7 linked regions of the Xenopus tropicalis genome follow. The protein of the gene in region 1 binds, or shares a complex with, the protein of each later gene. Links are inferred from orthologs where the notes say so. Each region holds a gene or a part of one and is shown in the gene's direction. Other genes may lie near its edges.

What was found.
Region 2: snrpd3 (region 1) and gemin2 share a complex: the UniProt entries of both Homo sapiens proteins name them as parts of the SMN-Sm complex. The link is inferred for Xenopus tropicalis from reciprocal best matches to the Homo sapiens genes SNRPD3 and GEMIN2.
Region 3: snrpd3 (region 1) and prpf31 share a complex: the UniProt entries of both Homo sapiens proteins name them as parts of the U4/U6-U5 tri-snRNP complex. The link is inferred for Xenopus tropicalis from reciprocal best matches to the Homo sapiens genes SNRPD3 and PRPF31.
Region 4: snrpd3 (region 1) and cwc22 share a complex: the UniProt entries of both Homo sapiens proteins name them as parts of the minor spliceosome. The link is inferred for Xenopus tropicalis from reciprocal best matches to the Homo sapiens genes SNRPD3 and CWC22.
Region 5: snrpd3 (region 1) and ppil2 share a complex: the UniProt entries of both Homo sapiens proteins name them as parts of the minor spliceosome. The link is inferred for Xenopus tropicalis from reciprocal best matches to the Homo sapiens genes SNRPD3 and PPIL2.
Region 6: snrpd3 (region 1) and snrpd2 share a complex: the UniProt entries of both Homo sapiens proteins name them as parts of the SMN-Sm complex. The link is inferred for Xenopus tropicalis from reciprocal best matches to the Homo sapiens genes SNRPD3 and SNRPD2.
Region 7: snrpd3 (region 1) and gemin5 share a complex: the UniProt entries of both Homo sapiens proteins name them as parts of the SMN-Sm complex. The link is inferred for Xenopus tropicalis from reciprocal best matches to the Homo sapiens genes SNRPD3 and GEMIN5.

What each region holds. Positions count from the first base shown.
Region 1 is NC_030677.2:152,604,866-152,609,869, forward strand, and holds the start of snrpd3 (small nuclear ribonucleoprotein Sm D3), read left to right. Parts: upstream 1-1,788; 5' UTR 1,789-1,811; coding exon 1,812-1,937; intron 1,938-4,378; coding exon 4,379-4,571; intron 4,572-5,004. UniProt on the Homo sapiens protein: Plays a role in pre-mRNA splicing as a core component of the spliceosomal U1, U2, U4 and U5 small nuclear ribonucleoproteins (snRNPs), the building blocks of the spliceosome.
Region 2 is NC_030684.2:114,047,378-114,051,614, reverse strand, and holds part of gemin2 (gem-associated protein 2), read left to right. Parts: intron 1-301; coding exon 302-370; intron 371-1,035; coding exon 1,036-1,146; intron 1,147-2,557; coding exon 2,558-2,616; intron 2,617-4,237. UniProt on the Homo sapiens protein: The SMN complex catalyzes the assembly of small nuclear ribonucleoproteins (snRNPs), the building blocks of the spliceosome, and thereby plays an important role in the splicing of cellular pre-mRNAs.
Region 3 is NC_030683.2:104,946,060-104,949,332, reverse strand, and holds the end of prpf31 (U4/U6 small nuclear ribonucleoprotein Prp31), read left to right. Parts: intron 1-1,778; coding exon 1,779-1,904; 3' UTR 1,905-2,294; downstream 2,295-3,273. UniProt on the Homo sapiens protein: Involved in pre-mRNA splicing as component of the spliceosome. Required for the assembly of the U4/U5/U6 tri-snRNP complex, one of the building blocks of the spliceosome.
Region 4 is NC_030685.2:63,083,437-63,088,331, forward strand, and holds the start of cwc22 (pre-mRNA-splicing factor CWC22 homolog), read left to right. Parts: upstream 1-1,787; 5' UTR 1,788-2,008; coding exon 2,009-2,035; intron 2,036-4,888; coding exon 4,889-4,895. UniProt on the Homo sapiens protein: Required for pre-mRNA splicing as component of the spliceosome. As a component of the minor spliceosome, involved in the splicing of U12-type introns in pre-mRNAs. Promotes exon-junction complex (EJC) assembly.
Region 5 is NC_030677.2:154,128,268-154,132,504, reverse strand, and holds part of ppil2 (peptidyl-prolyl cis-trans isomerase-like 2), read left to right. Parts: intron 1-2,946; coding exon 2,947-3,036; intron 3,037-3,135; coding exon 3,136-3,169; intron 3,170-4,237. UniProt on the Homo sapiens protein: Has a ubiquitin-protein ligase activity acting as an E3 ubiquitin protein ligase or as an ubiquitin-ubiquitin ligase promoting elongation of ubiquitin chains on substrates.
Region 6 is NC_030684.2:70,385,769-70,390,506, reverse strand, and holds the start of snrpd2 (small nuclear ribonucleoprotein Sm D2), read left to right. Parts: upstream 1-1,499; 5' UTR 1,500-1,570; coding exon 1,571-1,572; intron 1,573-4,545; coding exon 4,546-4,725; intron 4,726-4,738. UniProt on the Homo sapiens protein: Plays a role in pre-mRNA splicing as a core component of the spliceosomal U1, U2, U4 and U5 small nuclear ribonucleoproteins (snRNPs), the building blocks of the spliceosome.
Region 7 is NC_030679.2:17,540,838-17,545,074, reverse strand, and holds part of gemin5 (gem-associated protein 5), read left to right. Parts: intron 1-9; coding exon 10-172; intron 173-578; coding exon 579-791; intron 792-1,496; coding exon 1,497-1,582; intron 1,583-2,261; coding exon 2,262-2,344; intron 2,345-2,649; coding exon 2,650-2,786; intron 2,787-3,000; coding exon 3,001-3,074; intron 3,075-3,776; coding exon 3,777-3,958; intron 3,959-4,237. UniProt on the Homo sapiens protein: The SMN complex catalyzes the assembly of small nuclear ribonucleoproteins (snRNPs), the building blocks of the spliceosome, and thereby plays an important role in the splicing of cellular pre-mRNAs.

The sequences.
Region 1 (5,004 bases):
AAAAATCTCATCTGGAGGAGGACTACATCAGATATTTGATATGGTCCTCTCCTGATGGCCTACACAGGCGCCTATTACAATGATCATTTGGCCCTCACAGATCTGCCTGATGTCAGCCACAACTAGGTGGCCATATTGGTTATAGATCCGCTGGTGACCTTCTCACCCAGATGCCCAATTTCTGGCTGCTAGAAGAACAGGACTAATGCGGATTATTGTGCCAATACCAGAATAAGCCATCTTGTTTTTCTTCAATGTGTTTCCACTGTGGCCTATGGCACTATCTATATATAGCTGCTATGGGTAATGTTGTTGTCCTTTTGTGGGAAAGCCAATGGGCAACTAAACCGTGTATGCCATTACCCTTACCTCAAGATTATGTGATGGTTTTACTAGCGCAGCCTGCAATTTTAGGCTAATGGCACAAACAGCAGTTTCAGGCTGCAGTGACAGGTTAATTCCAGTCCTGTATGTGCACATACATACATTCATGGTAGAATGGGGGGTGAATCTACATTTTACAGCAGTGAGCAGGGGTACATTTTTGTGCACAGATGCCATTTTGTCCATTTTACTTAATGTTGCATGTGCTTTCTGGCAGTTCAGAAACAATGCATTCAGCAGATATATAAACAAAATAAGCCTGATCATTCTGGGCCCATACATATGCCAGCGGTCTGCCAATTCAGTTAATAAAGTCAGAATCAGCACCTATTAAAAGCGCAGACTAAAAGAAACAGTCTGATCAGGTGCGGACTGGAAATGGGGCCTTGGCATTTAATTATACGCGGATACCCAAATAGCCCCCTATCACCCCAATAAATAGTGTCTGTGACATCTTACAGCAGCCCTTCTGGCATTTATCACAATCCACAGATTGCACGTCTGAGTCTAATTGGAGGTTTCAGCTCAAGATATTTAATAATAATTCATAATATATAATATGAAAAGTTGCAGTGCAACTAGCCGCTCTTAAATGGTGTGAATAGATAAATGGGTTGATGAGCGGAACTAAGTCACTCATATCTGTTTCCCACCGGAAGTTGTTTGCTTGTGCAGTCGCCGGGAAAAGGGGGCAGAGAGATACGACAGCCTGTTTCCTTTCGCTGTGCATTGTGGGGCAGGCGGGACGCCATTAGAACGCAGAACAGAGCCACGCTAGTAAGTATTACCCAAAGCAAACAAAAGTTCGGTAAAAAGTCTGCGCTTTGCAGGATTGTCAGAGAGGCCCGGGGGTTGCAGCGTGCGGATATCTGGGCGGGGTGTGCGTCTCGGTTACTCGGCGCTTGTTCGCTTTCCCTTAGGTCTGTGCGGTTGGCAGCTTTGTATGAGTGTGAGCAGGGCTTCCCTCTAAATATTGCCTTATGGTGAGGTTATATACAGGGTGCCGGGCCCAACGCATCTCACTGTGTTACCAGTCCGTTATCCGTTTCTATAAATATTCCTGCCTTAGGCCGGGGGCACTGAAACGTTTGTGTAGGCCTCAGTGCCAGTATCCCAGGGAACTCATTCATTGAGGGTTACTCCTCTGCTTCTGCGGGTTGTGCTGCTGCGATGTCCTAACGTGCATGTGTTTCTGAAGGGCTGGGCATGTTTGTGTGCATATGTATGGCTGAATTTATAGACTGTAAGTGATTAAAGCTTTAGGCTGGATAAACATTATGTAATAAGGATTTTTATTTGAATATACCTTATAGTTTGCACATGGCTGCATTGTATGCAGTAACCTGCGTTGCGCTTTGTATGTTCTCCACGTTTTTTTGCTAATTTTTATTTCTCCAATTGCAGGTTAATCTCCATTAGCTCTCAATATGTCTATCGGTGTACCAATTAAAGTCCTTCATGAGGCAGAAGGCCACATTGTGACATGTGAAACTAACACCGGAGAGGTATACAGGGGGAAATTGATTGAAGCAGAGGATAACATGAACTGCCAAGTAAGTAAAATAAGCAAGTCATTCGTATTATATCTATAGCAAGTGCACCTAAACTTATAAATATTTACCTTATGCCATGTTTGTAAGTACGTTGGTGATTGCAGTATAAACTCTAGTGATAGACCTTATGGACCAACAATTGTAAAGGCTGTGTTAAACTAAAAATGTGTGTGTGAATTGTTAGGGGCAAAGTATTTTCCAAAAGGCACCTATTTATTCCCTATATAGTGCCTCGGTTACCCTATCCATTGCAAAAGAAGCAGTTATATTGTGGTCAGAAGCGTAAATAGCTTAAAGGAGACATGGAAAAATAGGGGAAAAAAAAACCTAATTTTGTAGACAATTATGAACAATATATGCTGCGGGTTTCATTTGGGCTAAAAAATACTCATCTGTAAATATGGCCTCTTTATTGGAGCTCCCTGTAGATCCTATCAGTTCTCTGTCCCTGTTTAAAATGAAGGGTGGGCGTGTCCTAACGGTCCCTGCCAGAAGCACAGTAGGAGGGGGGAAGGCAATCACAGCCCAGCACTCACACAAGCAGAGACAGGCTTCAGTTCCCTATCAGGTCATCCTAGCTGCTGATTGGTTCCTATCCAGCCAGCAGGAAGTGGAACAGATGGGCGGGACTATTAGGGTTTTGGTGGAATTTCTCAATAAAACAGTCCAAAAAACAATTTTTTTTAAACCACAGTCCTTCTATATCTAGAGGAGTATAATTTACTGGTACATTCTTAATTTTTATACAATGTCTCCTTTAATCCTAATCTATTTCAATTTCCTAGCTGTGTCTCTAGATGTCAGTATATTCACAGTAAAGCTCAGTGATAAGGAGCAGAAGTAAAATATGTAAATGCTGTTGTTGCTATGCACTTTTAAACTGTTAGTTACAGGAGCCTAGTTAGTGGGGTGTGGCTACACCCGTATTGCATTCCTGTTGTGTAATTTAAAAAATATTTAGGGTGACAATTTCCTTTTGCTCTTTTTACTAAGCACTCTTCTGTTGTTCATGTATAAACTTCTCTTTTAACATGGAGAAAAGTCTCCTTTATCTACCCACAGAAGCCAAACGGTAACATATTTTGGTGTTCCTATTCTTTTAAACTATGTAAGTGTTTCAAAGTAATCAAAATACGATGTAGTGTTACCCTGCACTGGTAGAACTGGTGTTTGCTTCAGTAACACACAGCAGCTTGGATGGCTGCCCCCACTGATACTACTATAGTTCATATAAATAAGCTGCTGTGTATCAGTGGGGGCAGCCATCCAAGCTGGGATAAACTGAGTAAGGGCTCTGGCACACGGGGGAGATTAGTCGCCCGCGATTAACTCCCTGTTCGCGGGCGACTAATCTCCCCGAGTTGCCTACCCCTGCCATCCCACCGGCGAACATGTAAGTCGCCGGCGGGATGGCAGACGCGGCGGGGCGATTTCCGGAAATCACCGAAAAAGACTTGCGAGTCTTTTTCGGCGATTTGCGCGAAATCGCGCCGCCACGTCTGCCATCCCGCCGGCGACTTACATGTTCGCCGGTGGGATGGCAGGGGTAGGCAACTCGGGGAGATTAGTCGCCCGCGAACAGGGAGTTAATCGCGGGCGACTAATCTCCCCCGTGTGCCAGAGCCCTAAAGGTGCTGGTTACATAAGCTGTATTGTATTTTACAGAGCTTATCTTTTTGTCACCTGTGCCATTCAGCCCTCTTTGTTTGAATAGCTGCCCCCATGCAGCTTTATTTCTATAGACCAGGGTTTCCCAACCTTTTGTACCTGTGAGCCACATTTAAATGTAAAAAGAGTTTGGGAGCAAATGAAGCATAAAAAATTCTTTTGGGTTGCCAAATAAGGGCTGTTATTGGCTATTTGGTAGCCCTTATGGGGACTGGAAGCCTACAGGATTGTGCTGGCAATACAGCTGGTTTTTATGCAACAGAAACTTGCCTCCTTACCAGAAATTACAAAAAATAAGCACCTGCTTAAAGTCCACTGGGAGCCACTGGTTGGGCATTACTGGTATAGACTATAGCAGTGTTTCTAAAGCATTTTAACGCAGCTGTATATTACCTTGTACAATAAATAGGTTGTTTTTGGCTATTTTAATTAAAAGGGTCCTCCAGCCAAAAACTGTTTTTGTAATGAAAAAATTTAATTCTACGCAACTTGGATATACATTAAAGGAAATTTAAAACTGCAAAGACTGGTCTTCTAAACATTCTTCTACTGTGTATGAATGTTCTTGGTGCTGTCTCCCAGGAAAAGAACATGGTTTTGGCTATTCTTTGAGCTAAACAAGGGGGAGACATGAGTGTGAAGTCAAACACGATCCCGTTAAAGCTTTATAAATATAAAACATTGTAATAGAATTCCTCACATAGTGCTGTATGTTAAGCCTGTGTCCTTTTTTCTTCCCTCCATGGATGCTTAAATTGTACTTTGACTTTCAGATGTCAAACATCACTGTAACGTACAGGGATGGCAGAGTGGCACAACTAGAACAGGTCTACATCAGAGGCAGCAAAATTCGTTTTCTCATCCTCCCAGACATGTTGAAAAATGCTCCCATGTTAAAGAGTATGAAGAATAAAAACCAGGGTTCTGGTGCCGGCAGAGGAAAAGCAGCTATTCTCAAGGCCCAAGGTAAGTTTTATTTGTGTAGGGGCAGGGTTAACAGGGTGATGTCTGTAAAATTCCATGATCATCATTAAAAGCCCTCCGTTCCCTTGGTTTAAGTTACTAATTGTTAAATTAGTTTATTTTGTTATTGGAAGGAATTGTTTGTCCAAGGAGAATAGGAAGGGAAAAACAAAAGGCATAGAGAAATATGAGAGAATATATTTACTCTATACCAAAAAGTCACACTGTCCTGCTCCCATCACTGTGAGAAGTGAATCAACAGGCAGTTTACTCGCCCTTCAATCACCACACTGTATAAGTTTTGAACTTGTTTAATGATGATGATCAAAAGAAGGTAGAACTGTAGGTACAAACAGTACAATGGTATCAGAATACATTCTGGGTATGTAAAATACAGATATATACAACAGGAGCAAATATAAACATCTTATATGCA
Region 2 (4,237 bases), on another chromosome or scaffold:
TTAATTACTGAAATGCTCGAAGATGGGGCCAAATACGATGAAGTTGTTTGAACCCACTGATTAGACCTCTTGGGGGCCCCAGGCAGTAAGATAAACAAATGTCCTCCTGTAAGGAAACGATGACCTGTGCCAGTCAGGATTAGGCAATAAATGGACATCGGTCTTGCCAACCATTTACTTTTGGCCAAAACAATTACAGGTACAAGTTCAGTCCTGCTATGTTTTACTCTGTTTATGTTGACATAACTGTATAGAATCTATTCATCTGTGTTTTTTATTCTGTAATTATTTTGTCTTTAAGGCGACCGTAACAAGTGTGCTAGAATACTTAGTGAACTGGTTTGAAGAAAGGAACTTTACTCCAGAGCTGGTAAAACATATATATAGATATATATCTTAATTTACAATGTGTTGTCTTTATATTATTATTATTATTATTATTAACATTTATTTATAAAGCGCCAACATATTCCGCAGCGCTGTACAATAAGTGGGTTTCATACATTGTACATACAGAGTAACATATAAAGCAATCCATAACCAATACAAGAGGTGAAGAGGGCCCTGCCCAAAAGAGCTTACAATCTAGAACCGTAGCTTATTATTGGTAGATCCCTGAATCAAAAAGAATATTCCAACAGTTGCAGACCTAAACAATTTTGTTTAACTTCTATGTGCCTACTGAGTACTGATCAGCACATAGTCACATACTTGTGACTATACTGGGTGCAGGCCCAGACTGCTAATCTGTGGCAAATACCAGAAGGGCAGCAGTAAGAGGCCATAGTCACTATTTAGTGGGCCTGTGGGGGGTGTTTGGGCCTTTCTGTGTACTTGAAATGCCAGGGCCTGTTTTGAATCTCAGTGCAGTGCAATACATGGCAAAAAAACAGTTGTAATTATAGTCTTCATCTTTCATTGAACCATTCCTCACTGTATACTTACTGTGCAAGCTCTACTCTACAGCACAATATTTGTTGCACACAACTTTTTCTGCCCAAGTAGTAATGCAGATATACTGCGGATGTCTTCTAGGGTCGTTGGCTTTACGCACTACTGGCCTGCCTGGAGAAACCATTGCTGCCTGAAGCTCACTCTCTTATTAGGCAGTTGGCACGGAGATGCTCACAAGTCAGAGCTGGGGTGGTAAGAACCTTTTTTTTTTTTTTTTTGCCATTTAAACAATATGTATAAATGTGGTCTACTTAAAAATTGGATCATTTTTCAATATATCTACCTGGAACGTTAGTGCTTCATATTGTCTTCTCTCAGCCTAAACCAGGGGACCCCAAGCCCCTGGATATGAAAGCTCCTGTTTGTTGGAATCTTGTTAGAAAAAAGAGTGGAGAAATTTTAGGACCCAAACTTTATTGTTTATGCCCCTTCATTAGCATTTCCCTGATCTGATTGGCTAACGCGATTTCAGCCCGTCAGATCAATGACCAGCAAACAGGCTGCACTGTTGAGTAGCCCATGCGCCCCACTGCACTGTGACTACGTCAGAATACTAAGCGATGTGGCCCTCCGGCTGTTAGAGAAAGAGACCAGAAGATTTATGCAGCACTACCTATCCCAGTAGACCCATTTAAAATGCTCTATTTTGTTTACTGAACCATATTACAATGTGTACATAGCCAAATCTATAGAAGCTGTTAAAAAGCTGAACATTAAATGATTCTGATTGTTACTTTAGTATTCCTCGGAGGTTTACTAACTTCATTAATCATTTTGACTAATTTCTGTTTTTTCCCCAAATCATAATGACACATTGACTATTAATGGGATGGATAACTTCTTACTTAGGTTTTAGTATGTTATAGAATGTACTATTCCTAGCAACTTTGCAGTAGTTCTTCATTATATTTTTTTTTATATATGTTTTGAATTACTTGTCTTTTTCTGCCTCTTTCCAGCTTTCAAATGAGGCTCACTGACCCCAACCAAAAAAGCTCTGTGTTGCTACAATTTTACTGTTATTTTTACTTTGTATTACTCAACTTCCGATTCTCATTGGCACATTCCAATCTGTTTAATCCACTGCCTGGTTGCTATGGCAAATAAGACCCTTGCAACTAGATAGCTGCTGAAATTCCAAGCTGGAGAGCCGCTGAACAGAAAGCAGAGTAACTTAAAAAATAACCCACAAAAAAATAAATGAGGACCAGTTGCAATCTGTCTTAGATCAATGTCTACATCATACTTAAAGGTAATTTAAAAGGTGCACAGCCCCTTTAAACCTTCTTTATTGGTATTACCAGTCCCCAAAATTTAGGTTTTGGCTGCACTTTTCAGGATTCATTCACATATCCTGAACTGGCAACTGGTGTGTGGGGTTCACTTGGGAAAACAGGCAGCTGGGATTCACCTGTTCAGAAACAACCAATTTAAACCTTTTCAGGCCAGAAGGTTGATTACAGTATGTGATTTAGTGTATGGAGCAATGTGGGAATTTCCAGAAAGCTTTCTATGATTTGCCAGGCAGTGATTTGTATGTGTGATGGGACAGCTGCTCCTTTCAGCCGATAATATGAATAACTGTGAATGTTCTTTATCCTAGGAACATAAGGAAGATGAACGGGTGTCTGCGCTGAACCTATTCATCTGTCTGGTTGGCAGGTAATGAGCCTCGCAAGGTGGAAATATTGGCTGCAATGTACTGAACTAGAAGTGAAGACTCTGAATGAAGAGTTCTAAGAACTTAAATGTTTAGAGGGTATGGGATCCCTTTCTGGAAAATCATTATCCAGAAAGCTACAGGAATGCTATCTCCGTTAGAATCTGTCTCATCTCCTTGTGGACATAGGAACACTAGGGGTTGTCCCTACCAGCCTTCTCGGAACCGGGCTGCATTCTCAGGCTTCCCCCTCTGTGGGATATTTCCAGCACCAGGATCATTTCTCACTCCTGAAGAGCAGGCCATCTAGCCGTACTCTGCACCTAATCTTCATAGTACTAACTGGGGGTGCCCCCAGCACTAGCAACTATTACTCAGGCAGTACCCCTGGGTTGCATATTACGCAGTTCTATAGGCCTCTATTCCTGGCTGTAACGGGTGGTTATTCGAGTTTACCACACTTTGGATACACGACAGTTTCACTTTTCCTCCATAGTGGGCACCAACTGTGCACTCAGGGGTACTATTGGCTGCCCACACTTGCGGGGAGGTACTGTCCCTTCCCTGCTCGACGCTCCTAATCTTCCTTTGGGACCCCATCTTGGAGATCACTGTCCTTAGTTCCCTCTGTGCATACCAGCGAATAATAGTGACAACTTATTTCCCGGGGGCATGGACTCCATTAAGTAGACAGACTCTCATTGTGCATCATGCCAGGCCACAGATGTTCCTGCAGCTTTTGTACCAGGCACTGCTGCTTCTGCTGAGACTGCCGCCTCCTGTCTACCTGAGGGTGGACATACCCCTAGCCCCTATTCCCTCTGGCTCTGGGATAATCACATCGGGTGCAGGAACTGGCCCGCTTCGCCCCTCAAATCAAGAAGGCCAGTTCTTACATTTGTGAGGCAGCACTAGACGCAGCTCAGATTTCCATAGAGCATTATCCTTGGTGTTAACAACACATTCATTCCATGATTTGTCCACACCAATGATTTCAAATTCCCTTCAATTGGGCCTGACCTCGGGCCTGAATTCTCTCAATGCCCAGATATTGCCCCTTTTGGTGCTATTACAAAAAACAACTGCTGTTGCTGCTGGATGTGAATGCTTTCGCCAGGGAGCACCCCACTTGGGGCCTACCTTCAGAAGTCCCTGACCTCCTTGGGATCTTAACTTTGCTGAGGGCACTACAAGAACTCTTATTTGAGCCCTTAGCTTCAGTTTCCCTGGTTAGTCTCACATGGACGACTGTTTTTTTTGTGGCCATATCATCTGCGCACCAGGTGTCAGAACTCTATTCTCTATCCTGTGAATCCCTCTTTCTCATTTTCCATCTTGACAAAGCAGTTCTGCACACTGTCTCCCCCCCTTCCTAACCAAGGTGGAATCACAGTTCCACATTAACCAGGAAATCACAATTCCTTCATTTTGTCTCAAACCTGGAGAGGAATTAGGTCACTCTTCATTCCCTGGATGCAGTCGGTGCTCTCAAATATTATGTCAGCAGAACCTGCAACTGTAATAGTAAATGTTAAATATTATGTTCAAATTTTGGCTAAAACAGATTGTGCCAACACTTTCCCTAAAATGAAGGCAACCAACTTGTGCTGTGAGTCGCTGACA
Region 3 (3,273 bases), on another chromosome or scaffold:
ACAAAATGGTATTAAGGGGTACTAACCCAGGATCAAAGTTATATAATATATAATATTGTTATACAATTAGTATAATAAAAGACAGTATTTATTTGTCAGCGTGACAACACTAAGAATATTAAAATCATTTAAAACCCAAAAGCAGCACCCATTCGCAGGAAGGGGTCCCACCCTGAGACCATTCCGTCTGCAATCATACAAATCGCCATACTATTCAAAATAGAGCAATGCAGAGGCACTCATCCTCTGTGATTGTTGGATAGACATATTATAAAGACTGTTATAGCAATGTTAAAAAGTAAGCAGGGCCATCCTTGTGTTCACAATAAAGATAACTTTATTGTAAAGAGTGTGATAAATAAATTCTATAGTAGGAATGTCCTGTTTCCATAGGGTTCAAATAAACATCTTGCTGTGCCAATATTAATAGTGTGCAGTGTGTTACAGTTGTACCGCTCTCCTCTGATTGGAGTAAAGGAGTTCTCCAACAATGTTACTTCCAATGAGCTTGTTATAAAGTTGGCAATTATGTGCCCATGATAATACTTATGCATTACTGTCTATTCAGCTTATGATATCTTCAGCAATTCACTCCATCAGTTTGCAGGCAGAGCAACTTTTTTCTTTGGAACACATTGATCATCCACTGTGTACAGCACCTAGCAGAGTGGGGGCCCCCTATAATACCAATGGAATAGTGGCTGCTAATACTGTGTTTTAAATGATTTTAATGTTCTTAGTGTTGGCATGGTGACAAAGATTGCCTTTTATTATACTAATTATATAACTATTGTGGGTTTGATCCTGGATTAGTACCCCTTTCTACCAATTTTTTGTGCTCTCTCAATATGAAAAATGGGCAGGGTCGGAATGGGGGGTGAAGGGCCCACCGGGGCCAGCGCCCACAGCCTCGCTCCCCCACCCGACGTCCTTCCCTGAGCGGGTAAATTTAACGTGTCTGGGCAGGGGGAGCTCCGCAAGGGTCGGGTCTGGGCCCAGTCCGACCCTGAAAATGGGACACCTTGGATCAATGTATATCTAATAATCTAGTACAGATTGTAAAGGGTTTAGAGGTTACAACTGTGTTAATGATAATTCTAAACTGTCCAATATGAATTTATTAAATAATGTAGTGCTTTAAAAGTTACTTGTAAATGTAACTGCGATTTACAGTAGCATGTGTGTAACTCTTGGTTGTTGCCTTTGCAACATTGTTTAAAAAGTAAGTCTCCTCCAGCAAGGTTGGGCTGTCAGTCTGCTGATTTGTTACATTGTTTCTAAAGTAAGAGCCTCCGGGGCAGAGAACAGAAAAGGAAAGGCACACTGCTTTTAATTGCAATAATATATACAAACAACTTAAAAAAAAAAAAAAAAAAAACACACAATACATGTATATTACAAAGCTGCTTAGAATTTCATTGTTTCATTTATAAGGCAAAACATATTTTGGGTTTGCTTAAATTTTGGGGGAATAAAGATGAAAAGCTTAACTTTCTGATGTTTAGCCTGTCTAACAAGTCATGGAAATGAGCTTTGTGTGTTGACCGTACACATTTATGATCCCTCCATAAAGCTCAAGAGGAAAAGAACTGATCACTGTCCCTCAGTGGTAAACTGCATATTAATCAGAGGACCGGTTATGAGTGGGAATTAGTTGAAGGGCAACAGAGTTTTGTACAGTCAGCCTCTGGCTCTGTTTTGTATTCTGGTACAACCAAATATTTATTACTCTAGAACAGACTGTGTGCAGTGTAGTGACTGGTTTCTTTTCTTTGCAGGGGTTGGAGATTGTTAATCCTCAGGCGGCAGAAAAGAAAGTGGCTGAAGCAAACCAGAAGTACTTTTCTAGCATGGCGGAATTCCTTAAAGTGAAAAGTGAGAAGTCTGGCACCATGACACAGTGAGACACTACAGGGCTAATTTACTAACACAGGTGCTAAACTGTGCCAGTGCAGTTACCCATAGCAAGCAATTAGAATTTAGCTGTTTCTAACTTACAGCAGACAGTTCAGAACAAATTCTTACATGGGTGCGATGAATGCACTGAGGCAATTTAGCACCCACATTAGTAAAACCAGCCCCTCAATGTCTGTCCAGTCCTTTACTGGGCAGACTAGTATCATCTGATGAATGAACTGGTGAACACTGATCTGAAGCCATTTGTATGTACCTGGTCTGGATTGAATATAAATATACTGGCTCCTGAGCTGTCAGCAGTCAAAGGGATAACTTGGAAGGACGGGCTGATAACCAGAGATTTTCCATTGGACAATTCAGAAAGTTTTGTTTTTAAATACTTTTTTTTTTTTTTTTTTTTTTACTATTATTGTACATGGAAAGGCTGATACTTGCCAACTATTTTTTTTTTTTTGTTTTTTACAGGTGGGATTTGCCTTGTATATAATACATATTTGTTTTTATTTAGATACAATACAAGGCTGTAAATTGAGTTTTATTGTTGCACGTTAAATTCAGTTATATTAAAGGGGATGTCAACATTTAAATTAACTTTTAGTATGATGTAGACAGTGATAGTCTGAGAATTTGCAATTTATCTTCAAGTTTTTTGTGTTTGCTTAAGCAGCTCTCCAAGTATTTGGTTCAGAATCCTTAGGGCTCTGGTACACGGGGAGATTAGTCGCCCGCGGCAAAACTCCCTGCTCGCGGGCGACTAATCTCCCCGAGTTGCCTTCCCTCTGCCATCCCACCGGCGAACATGTAAGTCGCCGGCGGGATGGCAGACGCGGCGGCGCGATTTCGCGCAAATCGCCGAAAAAGACTCGCGAGGCTTTTTCGGCGATTTCCCGAAATCGCCCCGCCGCGTCTGCCATCCCGCCGGCGACTTACATGTTCGCCGGTGGGATGGCAGAGGGAAGGCAACTCGGGGAGATTAGTCGCCCGCGAGCAGGGAGTTTTGCCGCGGGCGACTAATCTCCCCGTGTACCAGAGCCCTTAATCCCCACATGCAATTTGGAAGGGTGTTGGTACTCTGTGCTACTGCTGAGCTGCACTGAGTACTGACATTTGTAGAAAATGAATATAATCAACTGCTCAAACCAGCCAAACACAATCTGACAAATATGTCAATTCATTAAGGGTGAAGACACACTGAGCTACTTAGTAGCAGCTACTAAACACCAGAAAATACCCTGCCATAGACAGTACTACAATTCTGCTAAAACACACCAGTTATCAGTAAATGATCAGCATTGTCAGTTTTAGTAGCTGTGTCAAGTAGCTGCTACTAGTAGCCCTGTGTGTCTTCTCCCAAAG
Region 4 (4,895 bases), on another chromosome or scaffold:
ACCCATAGCTTTATTATCAGGCAATTGTTGTTGGGGGAGAACGGGACAGCTTTTCCTATTCCCCCCGGTGCGGGGCCCTATTAGGCCCAATTGGCCTAAGGCTGGTCCTGTATATATACAAATTTTTGATTGTTATAAGTATGATTGGAAAAATTTCTGATGGGTGTAAATTGTGTGAAAATTTGTATTGTGTTCGTACGAAAATATTGTGGTTGCGAACCAAAAGTTATTCAATTTTCGTATCCAAACGATCGTAAATGGCGCGTAAACCTTTCTGACTTTGAAACTTCAGTGCATGATTCGGAAAACTTCCATAGGACTCAATGGCACTCTGCAGCTCCAACTTGGCCAAAAGAAAGTCACGATACCCAAGCTTGAATGAATTCCGAAATGTTTGTAATCATTGCGAAAAATATGACTTTTGCATAAAAATTTATGCAAAACCCGAATAAGTCGCGTAATTGTACCGATATTTTCGTGGTCATTACAAAAAGTTCTAAACTTTACAACAATACAAATTTTTTTGCAATCGTGGTCATCGTGCTTCGATAAATGTGCCCCTATGGGGCTGATTCATCAAAGCATGAGTTCAAATCTCGAAATGGGTATAATTCAGATTAGATACAATAATTTCTCATGATCGGAAATGTCACGAAAATGCTTACGAAAAAATCGTATTAGTCACGATAATATTGTATCGGCGATCCGAAAGTGACTAAATTTTCATATCCGAATGATTGTAAATGGCTTTGATCCTTCTGTGCATGATTTTGGAAGCCTCTCATAGGACTCAATGGCACTCTGCAGCTCCAACCTGGCCCAAGGAAAGCCTCCCATAGGGCTCAATGGCACTCTGCAGCTCCAACCTGGCCTAAGGAAAGCCTCCCATAGGGCTCAATGGCACTCTGCAGCTCCAACCTGGCCCAAGGAAAGTCTCCCATAGGGCTCAATGGCACTCTGCAGCTCCAACCTGGCCCAAGGAAAGTCTCCCATAGGGCTCAATGGCACTCTGCAGCTCCAACCCGGCCCAAGGAAAGTCTCCCATAGGGCTCAATGGCACTCTGCAGCTCCAACCCGGCCCAAGGAAAGTCTCCCATAGGGCTCAATGGCACTCTGCAGCTCCAACCCGGCCCAAGGAAAGTCTCCCATAGGGCTTAATGGCACTCTGCAGCTCCAACCTGGCCCAAGGAAAGTCATGATACCGAAGCTTGAATGAATCCGAAACTTTCGTACTCGTTACGACAAATACGATTTTGTGGCACAAATTGTTGCAAAGTACGAAAAAGTCGCAAAAAATACGCGCAGTACAAAAACTATTCGGAAGCAATCGTACTTTGATAAATGTACCCGTGTGTGTTTCACATCATGTTACAGAAGCCCTAAAAAAAAAGTGTGTATGATGTGGAAAGTGTCCGTTCCTTGGTGACAGGCTGCCGTCAGTAATCAGACTACTATTTAGCAGGGCCCTCACCCCAGGGAATTTCCTGCACCAAGTAAAATAGAAACTCAACAAAGAATGGACATGAAAATACTGCAGTTACCACTTATTTTTTAACAATGGGTATTGGAAAGAGCTTTCTCTTATTAAACAAAAAATATTTAGCGGTTTAAAGTCCCTTTAATTTTAAATACACTGGTACCTAGGAAGAAGGGCCTATTTGTGTAAATGATTAAATGTAAAGGACTGCAATATAGCTACACCGCTTATTACAGCCAACGCTGCTATTTTAGCTTCTCCTTGCGACTCTTAGTCCCGTTTGTCCTGTCTCGGCTCCCGTACATATCACTGTGCGCTGGCTAGAATAGAGAATGCTGGGAAACCGGAAGTGTATTATGTCGTGCAGTGTGAGCGGTATTGTAAATAGAACACTGTGCGTTTAATCCAATAAGCGGGATTGTTCTTTATGTAATTTGATTTGGGTGGCGGTGACCAACAAGCGGTTGTTTATTCTAAGTCTTTACATTTTCCGATCTCCCCGAGAAGCTTTGGAGGGGGCAGCTTGGTATCATGAAGAGTAGCGTGGCCCAAGTCAAAGTAAGTTTTCTGCTTACATTTACCTTATGGTTACAGAGTGGCTTTATCCTGGACTTTCAGCTTGAGATCCTATAGCGAATGGAAAATTACAACTTGCAGTAACCTCTAACGCTGAGGATCAAGGGAGCTATAGTTCAGCAACTTATGTGGGGCACTCAGCCCAATGCCTTGAGGGTCATAACATTTGAGTTCGGGATATTTAGTCCAAACTATGCCGGAACTAAATTCCCAGAGGATCATTATCTTCCTTATGACAGGGAACTGGTTGACGTCTCTACAGTTAATAAAGGTGGAAAAATTGTATAAAAAAAAAGACAGAGGGGGGGGGGGTCAAAGCTCCATGTTTTTTTTCTGCCCACAGTGCCCCATGCCATTAATGTATTATTTACTTATATAGCACAGGCATTCCTCTGCGCTTGACATATAATGCAGTATTCACATTAGTCACTGCCCCAGAGAAGCTTACAATCTAAGGTCCCTATCAATTCATGCCTAATAATTTTATCGAGACCCCGTTAACCTGCTGTATGTTCTTGGAGTGTGGGAGGGAACCAAACTACCCATGCATAAACGGGGAAACATTTTATTTATTACCCAAGTAAGTCCCTTTACAGAGCACTTACTCCCCAGGGTTTCTTCTCTCTGCATAAATCTAGCGCTTGCAGAGCGGGTCCTGATGCAGGCAGTGCCTCCTGACACACCATACATTATGCCTCTGATTGACATTAAAGGAGAATGCAAGTCAAAATTTAAAAAGCATACTGCCCAGTAGTCCTATTGTTTAGTAAAAACGCCACACTTTTGGCTCACCTAATCAAATATTTACTTGGTTACACTTACTCATATTTTCTAGAACAGGCAGCCATCCCTATTTCCCCTTCCTTTCCCTCCTTGCATCATACTGCACATGTGTTTCATTCCCTCCCCCCCCCCGGCAGATCCACTTCTGATTGGCTGGTGGGCATGTGTAGCTCAGAACAGGAGACAGGATCAAGTTACACACATGCTCAGAGAATAGGAAGGCTGCCGCTGGCACCTACAGGAAGGGGAGAGAGATTTTAGTGATGTCACTATAGTCTTCACACTGCTGTAGGCTGCCGAATCCCAAAATACTGGCATCCCTAGTAAAGGCTAAATGACTCTGAAACCACAGAAAATCAACAATGTGTATCACTTTCATTGTATACTTCATCTTGGGAGTTAATTTAAGGGCCTTTAAGTCAGAGCAGGATGTTCTATGTGACTTGCCAGCTTTTGTTGAGTTACACCTGCCAGCAGCAGCAGCAGATTCTGGTTTCAAAAACTGCTGGGCCTTGTGTTAGAGATTATTTATTATGAGTTTGTTTACACAGGGAAGTTTGTCATACAACAGCAGCCTGCAGCTTTTACAAGAGGCACCAGGCAAGCACAGTATTCAAATGTAATACTAAGCAACGTTCCAATATACATTCATTAAAATGTGTCAGTGATGTTACTGTTTTTATGTAAATGTATTTGCTATTAAAATCAGTAACTGTTTGGCTGGTGCATCCTATTCACTCCTGGCTCTGACTCCCAAAACAATGTTGCAAGCCACCTGATTTACAGAACTGAAGGAGACCTGACAAATTGTTATAAGAGTCAGAAAACAGAAAGAGGTAAAAAACTTGCTTCTTGCTTCCTTTCCAAATAACGTTTTAATGATAAAACCCATGAAAATGATACATTTATGCTTCAATGTTGCCTGTTATTGCATTTTCTTAGTGCAAAAAATGATACTTTTTGGCTGGAGATAACTCTGGTCAGGTTATCTGCCATTTTCTGGAATAAAAATGGCAAATACATCGGTCACAAACAGATATATGTATTTAGAATCTTGACGTAATATAAAATATACAGGTATTGAAGAGCAGGGCCACTATTGGAGAGTGTAGGGATTCTGTAGATGAAGACCCGAGATAGAAAGAAGCAATCTATAGCTCACAAAAAGAGTAGAAGTTTATAACTAGTTGGCAGGCTTTGGGACAGACTAGTGGCTTGGCTGTGCATGTGAAGGGATTCTCTTCTACTCCCTGAGCAATAGACAGAAGGGCAGACACAAGTTATATGCACAGAGATACCCCTTGAATTTGGTGGTTGCAGCAGAACAACATCTGATGTACAGGTATGGGACCCTTTTATCCAGAATGCTCAGGATCTGGGGTTTTCTTGATAAAGGATATTTCTGTAATTTGGATCTCCATACCCTTAAAGGGGAAGTAAGCCTTTTATCTTAAAAGCCCCTAAAATGACTTTGTCTGTTGCAGACTCTGTATCACAAACAGCTCAACCTCAGCTCTCTCAGATACTTCCTAATCTTAGGTTGAGCTTCTTGTGATACAGAATCTGCATCGGACTGAGTGCAGAAAGAAAGGGATGTTATACTGGGGCTGTATAGAGTCTTATTTAGAGAGAGAGGGGGAAAAAAAAGGTTTACTTATTTTTTGTATGCTAATAATCATTTAAATGTTAAATAAACGCAATAGGATTGTTTTGCCTCCAATAAGGGGTAATTATATCTTAGGTGGAATCAAGTACAAAGTACTGTTTTATTATTACAGAGAAAAAGGGAATCATTTTTAAAAATTTAAATTATTTCATTAAAACCGGCCATTCCCCTAATTCAATGCTATCCGGATAATGGGTTTTTAAATTATGAATCCTATACCTGTATTGTTTTCCACATTTCATGACAAGTTTAAGTACAATGTATCAACAATGTACAATGTATCATTTCTGGCCTTCCTGCATTGGGACTGTTCATAGCTCTTGTTTATAAGGGACTAGTTTGTTGTGCTTGTATTTCGAATGTAATATTCTTTCTGAATTTTTCAGGGTGCTA
Region 5 (4,237 bases), about 1.5 Mb from region 1:
TGATGACATTTCCAAAAATCCCCTCAAAGCTTCCACTTTGAAGCATCTTATCTCCCACATAGCATTAGGTACCAAGATAAAACACCCTGAATTTGAACGCCAGGGGTCCACTGAACAGTTTGATGCCCAATATGTATAGGTTTACCTAAGTATGTGGCATGTAGGGGCCCCAATGTGAACATACCCCCATATGAACTGTCATTTCTGTCATTTCAGCTTCTGCAAAATCAACACATTTACATCATTATATGTGGGATAAAGCAAGTAAAAAGTATGCTCACCCCAGAAAGTCATATATTTTTGGAAAGTACACATTCCCCCGAATCTAAAATGGGTACCCATGTCTTTCTACTCCAAAGTACCAAGCCGCACAGCTTTTCTAAAGTTAGCAATTTTGATGACATTTCCAAAAATCCCCTCAAAGCTTCCACTTTGCAGCATCTTATCTCCCACATAGCATTAGGTACCAAGATAAAACACCCTGAATTTGAACACCAGGGGTCCACTGAACAGTTTGATGCCCAATATGTATAGGTTTACCCAAGTATGTGGCATGTAGGGGCCCGAATGGGAACATACCCCCATATGATCTATCATTTCAGCTCCTGCAAAATCAACACATTTACATCCTTTATGTGGGATAATGCTACAAAAAAAGTACATTCACCCCAGAAAGCCATATATTTTTGGAAAATACACATCCCCCCGAATCTATAATGGGTAAATATTTCTTATTGCTACAAAGTACCAAGCTGTAAAGCTTTCCTAAGTTTGCAGATTTATATGACATTTCGAAAATCGCATAAAAATGTTGCAATTTGCCGCATTTATCTCTCACAATTTCTTGATAAAGATCAGATAAAGACAAATCACCCCAAATAGGAACACCAGAGGCCTACTGAACAGTTTGATGCCCAATATGCATAGATATACCAAAGTCTGCGGTATGTACTGAACCCTAAATGAAAATAGCGCATAAGGATTTCTCGCCTGCCAGCTCAGCTTTTGCACACAGAGCCCCCTGTCAGTGTATTATGTGCAGTAACCCCCCCTAACTATACAGTGACCCCCAGAAAACCATATATTTTTGGAAAGTACACATTCTGATGAATTCAAAATAGGTAAAGTTATTTTTGTACACCAAAGTTACACCTGGCAAAGCTATGCTAAAAACAGATCAGGAACACTTATATAGGGATAAAATGTGATAAAACCACAAAAATTGTGCAAATCAGTGAAACAACAAAATAAGTTACATGACAGTGTAATTAGTGGCCAGAATATCTGATCCAATAGTTACGCTGTCAAAATAAACAGTTTTTAGGTAAAAGAAAATAAAAACAAAGTGGTAAAATGAAAAAAAAAAAAAAAAAAAAGCAAAACAAAAAAAACCAAAGTGTTTGTGTATACATGTGTGTACATGTGTTAAAGTTGTGTGATAGTGTGTAAGTGTGTATATGAGTGTAAATAAGTGTATAAAAGTGTGAAAAATGAAAAAAATAAAAATAAAAAAAAATGCTAAAATGTGTGCTGTAAGTGTGTGTAAATGTATGTAAGTGTGTATAAATGTATGTAAAAGTGTGTGTAAGTGTATAAATGCAAAAAAAAAATAATACTCCTTACCTGTCCTGAAGACCGATCTCCTCCACCTTCAGTGGCGCCGGCGCTGGGGGAGAGAGAGGAAGCAGCAGACGCGATGCGATCGCGTCTGCTGCTTCCTGGAGGGTCCTGCGAGCGATCGGCTCGCAGGACCCTGATGACAGCCCCCCTGGCACATTGCCGCCGTGGCACATGCCGCCGCTGCAGAGGGCAGCGCTTAAACGCCAACGACGTATGAGACACGTCGTTGGCGTTTAAGCCCTTTTACTGCCAGCACGTATGCCATACGTGCTTGGCAGTAAAAGAGTTAATCCATTTGTAAAACTCACAGTTGCACCATACAAAGTATATTCTGCCCCAGTAGAAACCAATAATAGATAATAGCAGAATTGCTTACCCCGTTTTTGTGACAGAGGAGCAGGCAAATACAGTTCAGGTGTGTGTGGTGGGGGGGTTGTATATTAATCTCTCCATCATACCAGCCTGAAACACTAAATGTGCCTGCAGTGTAGCAGTGCATTTTACTACCTGGGTAACAAAGAAAAGTGTCTCTTGTATTGTAATTTTTAAACTGCAAATACCATGAGGGTGAACACTAGGTTACATAACTGATTTGTATTTTAATTCCTCCCTCGGTTACTTAATGTAGCATTCTGTATGGAGAAACGGTTTGTGTATGCAGTTGTATTTTAATTTGTCATTTAATAATGTCGTACTGTACCTCTGGGGGGCAAGTAGCAGACTGTAAAAGTAAGAAGGGATGGAAAATCACATTATATATGAGAAAGCTTCTTTGCAGTTGACTCATAACAGACATTGTAGCTGCCATAGCAACACCTTAGCAGTTTTTCATCCTGTTACTGTGGCAATGCAGATCTGGGTGTGTTATGAGCAGCTCACTGAGAGAGCTACGGTGGGGGGGGATAAGCATTAAGTGTTAAATATTTAAAGAAGTGCTGACCCAATTTATCTTATCTGAGTAAGGACCACTTATCTAGTGATCTGTTGTACCCACAGCAGGCACAAACTCATGAATAGGAGGCCTTAGGAATTAGGAAGTGTAAACATGAGTATTTAGTGCATAAATAATCAAACTTGCACACTTAGGACTTGATTCGCCTACTTGTTGTTTTTGCTGTGCACCATGTATATGTAAATAAGACAAAAATATATATTTTTTAATACTTTTAAAATACATTTATTGTAAATACATAAGCATTTGTCAGAATTTACAATTTGGCAGATATAGCATACAAATAATAGGTGGGGATTAGGCCTTATTAAATTTTGTCTTGGTTTACCTCTTTTTAAAGTATTTTGTTGGTTGGGTTGTTTCTACCTTTTTAGACTCCCAAGACATGTGAGAATTTTGTCAAGCTGTGTAAAAAGAATTACTACGATGGTACAATCTTTCACCGCTCCATCCGTAACTTTGTGGTGAGTACCGGCAACAGTTCAGACTAAATTTAGTGCATTTTGGTTAAGGAATATTCATCAGGGAACGTGAACTGAACCACTCCATGTTCATTCTTTCAGATCCAAGGAGGGGACCCCACAGGCACAGGAACAGGTAGGCCATGTATCTCTCTTCTGTTCTCCAGGTAACCAACTTGTTGTTGGTTTTGTGCTTTCTGAAACTCAATTCCCAGACCTTTCTACTTGCTGTGATGTAACTCGCTCAGTGTAAAGGTAATGCCATATGCAGATCTTTATAGCCTGCCTTTCCCCAGACATAATGGCATAATATTTTAGCTTTAGTACTTGTTTAAAGGGCTGCTATGGTATAGTTAACCAGGTTATACAAAATGAGAGAGGTTTATTTTAACTTACCAAGATCTTTTAAGAAATGCTTTAAATGGCAGAATTTAGTGACAGAAGAAATGTTTTGTCTTTTACATAAGTGCTGTACACAAGCTAAACCAGTCCTACAGTCTTCTTTAGATAGGAGTCCTAGAATTTGTGATCTATTGAACTTTCCTAGCTGAGGGGTTAAGTTGCAAGTGCTATAACCAATTGTTGCTTTATAACCGTCGTCATTTGAGAGATTTGCTTTAGTGGCATAACTGGTGGTGGTGGTTGACTGAAAGGGAAACTGTATTGCTTAGCAGCATTTCAATTGTGGCACCTTTTATTGCTGCTGTTTTTAAGAAACTACATTACCATGGGGTTGGGTTAAAACATAAGCAAATAAAGTTAATTTAAAGATATTTAAAGATTATTTGTGGGAGTACAGGCTTCCTGCGTTCCGGTCAGTAATTTAGTTTAAGCTGGCCATACACGTGGCGATCTCACGATGTTTCGTACGACCGTCGGTCGCACGAAACATCGTCAGATCCGCCACACACCATTCAGGGCTGAATCGGCAGGTAAGGAGGTAGAAACAATAGGATTTCTACCTCCTTCTGCCGATTCAGCTCTGAAGGGAGAATTTTGGTCAGGCGCCTTCTATGGCGCCCGATCAAAATTTTCTAACTTGGCCGATCGGCGAGCCGACCGATTTCAGCAGCTTCCTGCGATATCGGTCGGCTCGCTGACATGCCATACACGCACCGATTATCGTACGAAACGAGGTTTCGTACGATAATATCGGTGCGTGTATGGCCACCTTTATAGTTTGTGTTTGCTATCTCATTTTACC
Region 6 (4,738 bases), on another chromosome or scaffold:
ATAAGAAGATACCAGATAAACTGTGTAGAATACAATGGGAATCTGCTACTTATCTGTTATCTGCTTAGTAACCTGTGCCTTTTCTCCTTTTTTCAATTTAAATGGCTGCCCCCATGGCTACACAGCAGGGTATTTATATAAACTGTAGTAGTGTTTATGAAGAAAACACACAACTTTTACCAGTGCAGAGCAATAGTACATAATATATTAATTATTTTTATACACTTTCATTTTTTGGTGTTACTGTTCCTTTAACTTTTAGTGTGTTATAGAATTGCCTATTCCTATTCATTATTTCTTATAGTTTTGAATCATTTTTTTATTTTCTTCTAACTCTTTCCAGCTTTCAAATAGGGGTCACTGACCCCAGCAGCCAAAAAACTATTGCTTGGTGAGCATACAGTTTTATTGTTATTGTTACTTTTTATAACTTGTTTTTCTATTCAGGTCCTCTCCTATTTATTTACCACCCTTTCATTCAAATTGCTACCTGGTCGCTAAGGTAATCTGGACTCTAGCTCTAAGATAGCTGATGAACAAAAAGTGAAAGAACTAAAAAAAATACTACAAATAAAAAATTAAGACCAATTGCAAATTGTCTCAGAATATTACACTCTACATCAGGGATCCCCAACCTTTCATACCTGTGAGCCACATTCAAGTGGAAAAAGTGTTTGGGAGCAACACAAGCATGAAAAAGGTTCCTGGAGGTGCCAATGAGAGCTATCATTGGCTATTTGATAGCCCCCATGTGGACTGGCAGCCTACAGAAGGTTCTGTTTGGCATTATACTTGTTTTTTATGGCTGCAAAACATGCCTCCTTTACCAGAAATTCAAAAATGAGCACCTGGTTTGAGGCCACTGGGAGCAACATCCAAGGGGTTGGAGAGCAACATGTTGCTCGCAAGCTACTGTTTGGGGAACACTGCTCTATATCATACTAAAAGTTAATTCAAAGGTGAAGAACACCTTTAAATCTGCTACGCAGTAAAGCTATCCATTCAGTTATTTTACACAATAGGACACTAAAAAGTGTACACATTTTCTGGTCGGTCTTCCAAATGCTTTTGCAATTCAGATTTGTTTTCAGTTTCAAAGTTATTAAGCATGTTATAAGCGTCTATTATAATTATTATGTAACAATTGCGCCACCTACTGGTATATCCCTCCAATTGCACAATCTGAGAAAACATGGTCAAAATGAAACATGGAACTGTTCTTATTGCGCTCTTTAGCGACTGAATTCCCAGCACAGAGCGTTGCCTTACATACTGGAACAATATTGGAATAAGATTTGCCTTGTCCTATAACCACTCTAGGAACTAGATGCGCCCTCTTTGTTAACTAATCCACCCCGCCTTTTCTCTGTCAGATTACGCCGCTGCCCCTCTGCGTAGCAAACTGGAGGGAACTTGTTTCGTGTCGATCACGTGGGCACGTTTCTACAGGCTTAACCAAATCAAGCAGGAACTAGCCGCTAAAGTGGCCCGGAAGCGGAAGTGGCCCTTCAAAGGAAGCGTTCTACACGCCGGGAAAACGTGAGAAGGGAAAGGAAAGACAAAAAGAAAGATGTGAGTAACTGGTGGAATATCTTCAGCCCAGCTTTAAATACTTAAAAATAAGGAAAAAAACTAGCCTTTTGTATCTACTTAAGTTTAGCTGATTGACGCTTAGAACGAATGCCTCTATGTAGCAGAGCATGCGATTGTACTAGCCGGAACTTGCCTGCACTTAGAAAATGCTGTGTAGTTCTGTGATTTAATTACTGTGGCAGAGATGGCAGTGCCAAAAAGCTTCCCTTGCAGGCTACCAGCACCAGGTCGTGTGTATAAACAGCTCCCCGGGTTTTCTCATTATGCAATTGCATGTGACACTTGCTCACTATATACAGGCATGTTAATAACATGGCTACCTGCAGCAAGTTCTCCATCATCCGGGTGTGGGTGGCACATCGCTATGAGCATTTTTTTGGACAAAATGGTACTGTTTCCCCCAACCTAAGTGCGGGTTCTATTAGCCCAATTCAAATCCGATATGTGTCTTTTAATACTAAGCAACTATTCAGTATACACGATTTAAACATTTTCAATGGTTCTAAATGTTTTCAATCAATTTCTAATCAATTCCATATCTTTCCTGGTTGGACCCACATGACAAGTTTCTACAAAGGAAATATTCTGCAGCTTTATGTGCTTGCACGATTATAGAGATCTGTGTGGTCAACTTAAACACTAATTTGTGTTTAAAAAATGCATATGACTGAAAAATATGCCTTTTAACACATTCAGCCCAGACTTTTTTGTTAGTTTATTAAGGCTTAATTGCTCTAGCAATAAGGGGTGGGACTTCACACATGCTCAGTAATGTTTTTGACTATGGGGCACTCCTTTAAAAACATGGAGGCAGCAAGTAGATAGCGATGGGTAAAAACAGCTTTAAACATGATTATTTGGGGAAAATTAAACCTAGTAATTAAAATCGTACCAAAATGGACAGTTAATAGGGTAACCCATTTTTAATAAAATTGTATTCTCCATTAAACAAAAAATCACCAGTAGACGTTTTGTTGTCAGAAAAATAGTGTTATATCTGATTTAGTACAGTGGTGTGAAAAACTATTTGCCCCCTTCCTGATTTCTTATTCTTTTGCATGTTTGTCACACTTAAATGTTTCTGCTCATCAAAACCGTTAACTATTAGTCAAAGATAACATAATTGAACACAAAATGCAGTTTTTAAATGAAGGTTTACGTTATTAAGGGAGAAAAAAAAACTCCAAATCTACATGGCCCTGTGTGAAAAAGTGATTGCCCCCCTTGTTAAAAAATAACTTAACTATGGTTTATCACACCTGAGTTCAATTTCTGTAGTCACCCCCAGGCCTGATTACTGCCACACCTGTTTCAATCAAGAAATCACTTAAATAGGAGCTACCTGACACAGAGAAGTAGACCAAAAGCACCTCAAAAGCTAGACATCGTGCCAAGATCCAAAGAAATTCAGGAACAAATGAGAACAAAAGTAATTGAGATCTATCAGTCTGGTAAAGGTTATAAAGCCATTTCTAAAGCTTTGGGACTCCAGCGAACCACAAATGGCAAAAACATGGAACAGTGGTGAACCTTCCCAGGAGTGGCCGGCCGACCAAAATTACCCCAAGAGCGCAGAGACAACTCATCCGAGAGGCCACAAAAGACTCCAGGACAACATCTAAAGAACTGCAGGCCTCACTTGCCTCAATTAAGGTCAGTGTTCACGACTCCACCATAAGAAAGACACTGGGCAAAAACGGCCTGCAGGCAGATTTCCAAGGCGCAAACCACTTTTAAGCAAAAAGAACATTAAAGCTCGTCTCAATTTTGCTAAAAAACATCTCAATGATTGCCAAGACTTTTGGGAAAATACCTTGTGGACCGACGAGACAAAAGTTGAACTTTTTGGAAGGTGCATGTCCCGTTACATCTGGCGTAAAAGTAACACAGCATTTCAGAAAAAGAACATCATACCAACCGTAAAATATGGTGGTGGTAGTGTGATGGTCTGGGGTTGTTTTGCTGCTTCAGGACCTGGAAGGCTTGCTGTGATAGATGGAACCATGAATTCTACTGTCTACCAAAAAATCCTGAAGGAGAATGTCCGGTCATCTGTTCGTCAACTCAAACTGAAGCGATCTTGGGTGCTGCAGCAGGACAATGACCCAAAACACACCAGCAAATCCACCTCTGAATGGCTGAAGAAAAACAAAATGAAGACTTTGGAGTGGCCTAGTCAAAGTCCTGACCTGAATCCTATTGAGATGTTGTGGCATGACCTTAAAAAGGCGGTTCATGCTAGAAAACCCTCAAATAAAGCTGAATTACAACAATTCTGCAAAGATGAGTGGGCCAAAATTCCTCCAGAGCGCTGTAAAAGACTCGTTGCAAGTTATCGCAAACGCTCAATTGCAGTTATTGCTGCTAAGGGTGGCCCAACCAGTTATTAGGTTCAGGGGGCAATTACTTTTTCACACAGGGCCATGTAGGTTTGGATTTTTTTTCTCCCTAAATAATAAAAACCCTCATTTAAAAACTGCATTTTGTGTTTACTTGTGTTATCTTTGACTAATAGTTAAATGTGTTTGATGATCAGAAACATTTTGTGTGACAAACATGCAAAAGAATAAGAAATCAGGAAGGGGGCAAATAGTTTTTCACACCACTGTATATATTCCCAATTCTTGCATAGACCAGTATGTTAATGAAATCTAAACTGTGGTGGGGCTAATAGTGACATGAATGGTTTATAATCTCTCTAAAGAGCTGCAGAATGTATCAGCGCGTTATAATAATCTGTATGTATACACCCTTTTATTGCACAGTGCCAATAAATATGTTGACACTTTATAGATCCATGTTAATAACATATTGCCAAATAATTCCCTGCACTTATACACAAAACTAAGAGTTGGACAGCGCATATTGTGATTTTGTTAACTGACACCATTGTTTGTAATTAAAAGGTTTAATAATTTAATGCCATCTCACACTGATTCTAAATCTCTTCAGGAGTCTCCTTAACAAGCCCAAAAGTGAGATGACACCTGAAGAGCTACAAAAGCGAGAAGAGGAGGAGTTCAACACAGGGCCACTGTCTGTGCTTACTCAGTCTGTGAAGAACAACACACAAGTTCTGATCAACTGCAGGAATAACAAAAAGTTGCTAGGCAGAGTAAAAGCCTTTGACAGGTACTATGTTGAT
Region 7 (4,237 bases), on another chromosome or scaffold:
TTGCTGTAGGGGTGAATTGCTCCTGTGGGATTTAACCAAATCTGGGAAGCAGAAGTGGACTCTCCTTGGCACCTCTGATGGACAGAATCATTCTCGAATTGTCTTTAACCTTTGTTCTGTGGTCACTGAGGAAGGGAAAGAGCTCTTGCTGTCTACTTCCATGGACCGAGATGTGAGTTTCTCTTTAAATTATTTTGCTTTAAAGGACAAGGCAAGGAAGCGCTGCAGGTACCCCGGCCTGGTGCTCTTCTCTCCGAGCAGGGGCACCAGCCCAGGGTAAAAGGTAGGCGATTAAAGTCACTTGGGGGTGCCTAACATTTTGGCCTTTCCTTCTCCTTTAAGCTGTTATACACTGTTATAAGTTTTTTTCCCAGAAAGTACTTTTCCTTAAAAATTTGATTTTTCTACTATTAAATAGAAATACTGTCAGTGTCAATGCAAAGTCAAAACTTAATGTTGACCTTTCGTTAAAGTGATACTGACCCATTCCCAGAATTAACAGGAGCTTGTCACTATAAATAGTGGCGGAAATTAGCTTAATAATGTACTAATTGAAATGCTGCCCTTTTCTTTCCCAGGTGAAATGTTGGGATCTGGGTTCCCTGTCCTGCTGCTGGTCCCTAACTTCCCTCGGTGGCTTTGTATACAGCCTAGCTTTCTCCCCGGTAGCAGCTGGCAGCCTGGCTGTTGGGGTGGGGGACAGCATGATCCGTGTATGGAATACAATGTCGGTTGTCAATGCATATGATGTGAAGACCCTGTGGCAGGGCATCAGATCCAAGGTCACTGCGGTAAGCAGCCTTTGCGTAATGTAAGCTACCAGTATATGCAGCCATACAATCAGTGTCAACAAATGCAGAGTGGGATTTCCTATTGCACCTCTCACTAGTTTTGCCACATGTATCACAGCCCAAATGACAGCACTAGATGGTCAGATTGCCCCTAATGTTATCTACGCATGCAGGAGTTTAAGGCAATGGAAATATAACTATGGAAATTCAGAAATTTGAAACTATTTCAAATTTGGACATTTAGAGGCATATTTATTAAAATGTGATTTTACAGCTGAATATATAAAAACTCACCCAGGTTTTCTTCATTCCTATAGAATTTTTAAAAGCGTATTTATCAAATGGTGAGTTCTAATTTTCACCCATTGATAAATACACATCTAAAAATCCCATAGAAATGAATAAAATGCGGATGAGTTTTAATGTATTAAGCTCTAAACTTACATTTTGATAAAGAGGGCAGGTGATATTAAGGTCTTTATAAATGGTTACAATTTCTGCTGTTCTGCCTCTCAGGCTACATAATGTAAGGAATTTATGTTCAGTAGGAGGGTTTTAGTTTAAAGTTAATTTTATTGTCCATTTGCACTGATTAAACTGATAATGAGAACAGCAGGCAGAAACTCTGAGTCTGCAATGGGATATTTTGGCTTAGAAAATAGGTTGATATTCTGCATTGATAGTTTTCCTTCTTGCCTAATGCAGCTGTCATGGCATCCGACCAAAGAGGGCAGTCTTGCTTTTGGCACCGAGGATGGGAAAGTTGGCATCTTTGAGGTCTACATCAGCAAGTAAGGACTGAGCTGTGATAATGTGTACAGCCAACACTGTTATTTGTGTCATATAGAAATAATAGCAATATTGTAGCCACTATAAGCTACCAAATCAGCCCCTCCAGAGTGAGTTGGCATCTTATTGGCCCATTTATGTAGCTTGCCCAACAGCCTGCTTGACTGACATGGCTGAAAAGTGAATAGGCAGGTTGAGTTTTTACCACATTGGCAAACCCTCTCCTGATAGCCCAACTTGGCTGCAAATGCAGGTTAACCACTTTTAGATTAGTGTGATATGTGGCATTTTTTCCCAGAACACAGGCCTGCAATGCAGCCTGAGGAATCCAGTTTGTGATGGTGTGTGCAGCTCTGTGTGAGCTAGCAATCTAACTAGTTTATAATTTAGCCTAGTTTTTACTAGCCTATCAAAGCTAGTTTGAGCATACCGCTATGTCCAATTCAGTCATTACTGGGATCAGTTATTATGCAAATCCCAACATCTGTCCAAATCTGGATATTTTTGGCTGCCCCCAATCATTAGGACAATTGGCAGTACTCAGGATTTGCTTTGAAACTACACAATAGTATGAAATTAGAAAGATATATGGATTGTTAAGGGGCATCTATATAGGACAGGAACTGTTTGTTGATTTCTTGTCATAAGAAACATTTTGGGCATTTTTTTTTTTTTTAACAGACCCCCTCAGATTTCTGCTACATACCACAAAAAGACTGTTTATTCCTTATCATGGGGACCTCTGCTGCCTCCATTCTCATTTGGTGAGCTCTCTTTCCCCCCTCCATCCCTCTAGTTTGTCTTTGGACTTGGTGTCAGCAGTATCCAGGTTTAACTTGCCTTTTGCTTTTGATATACTGTAATGTATTTACTCGTCTGTGGCCATCTTTTGGGCAGCTATATTAAATATGATATATTATATTAGGCTCTCCCCAGTACTTTAACTAAAGATTAAAATAAATTTTACCCATATATTTTCTGAACATAGACATCAAATATAAAGGTAAACTATGGAAGATGTCTTTGTTTTCCTTACTTGGAATACAGCCATTATTATTATTTTTTACAGGAGCAGAAGGGGACCGTCCTACTTATACACTGTACAGCTGTGGGGGGGAAGGGGTTATTTACCAGCACAATCCTTGGAAACTGACAGATGAAGCCAGTAATATTAACAAGCTGATCCGGGACACCAATGACATCAAAGTGAGTGCAAAGAGTGTATTAAAGGAATTACAGTCAGCTCTGTCTCCTTTGCCTTTCATGTACCAAGCAGGGCAGATTATATGATATGACCAAATGAGCCATAGGGTTTTTGCAGAATAGAGTGCTGAGTAGTTATATGGTTTCTCTTGCCTAATTTGTGCCTTATTTGTAATCAGTTTATTCTTGGGGTTTAGTGGATTTTTTTCTTTTGCAGCACAAGTTACCAGCACACACAGAGTTAAGCTGGAGACCTGATGGACAGTATTTAGCTATTGGCAATGAAGATGGGTGAGACCCTTAATATTTTTTTCCCCACTATGCTTCTTTTAGAGGAAGTGGCACACATAAATGGAATGTGCCATTTTGAAAATGTAACATTAAAGAGCAGCACACCGAACTTAATAGGAAACACAGACAGTTCTTACTTGAAAATGTATGTGTGGTTATAACATCACAGTGTAACAAACTGCCTTTCACTGCAACCCATGAAGTCATAGGGAGTTTTAAGAAAATGCAGTTCATGTTCAAAAGTACATGTTGGTCTCAGCTCTCTCTCTAACTCTATCCAAGGCAGCCCCAGCAACTTATGGTCATAGCTTTTACCCTGCATTTGCACTCTGGTTGCCTCCATTGATTGGATCCACCTCACTTTAATTTTATTTCCTGTTTTGTGTAAATATTTTATGTCTTAAATTAATATATGCCTAATAAGTATATGTGTTTATAATATAATGATACATTCATTTAAAACCTAATCCTATTTCTGTTAAACTACTATGAACCATCAGAGGCTCTGATTGGCCGTTTGAGTGCTTCTGTATGATTGGTTGTTTTAGCTTTAAATATTGTGAGATATCTTATGCCTCTTAAGGCATAAAAATGCAGAGGGCCTGTATTTTGGGGCAAATCTAATTTGCCAGCCTGCTGAAGTACTGCTCTGCCACATATTCTTTTGCTGTGATATAATTTAACCCTCTAACATCTAAACAGAACCATTGAGGTCTTCCACACTCAGCGTCTGCAGCTTATCTGTACCATTCAGCAGCATCACAAGCTAGTGAATGCTGTGCGCTGGCATCATGGCCATAGCCAAGACCCTGACTTGAACTTTCTGCTGGCATCTGGATCTAACAATGCTACTGTCTACGTGCACAACCTGAAAGGGCCCCTGGGTAAGTATTTGTTACAATAATATTCCTCTGGTTGAACAGTGCAGTCAATTCAAGGTGGCCTAGTCTAAAATGTTATTGGAGCTTGTGTTGGTGATGGTGGCATTTTAGTGCCAATAAATTATCCACAATAGTGCAAGCTAGAACCCTATATTTATACTGCAGAAAGCTTTACTATACCTGAATAAATAGCCCTAGAAGCTCCCTCAGTTTGTTTAAGATAGCAGCTGCCCTTTTAGCTTGGTCTCAGTAGCTTCTGTGTGCAGCTCTAGGGGCTGGTGG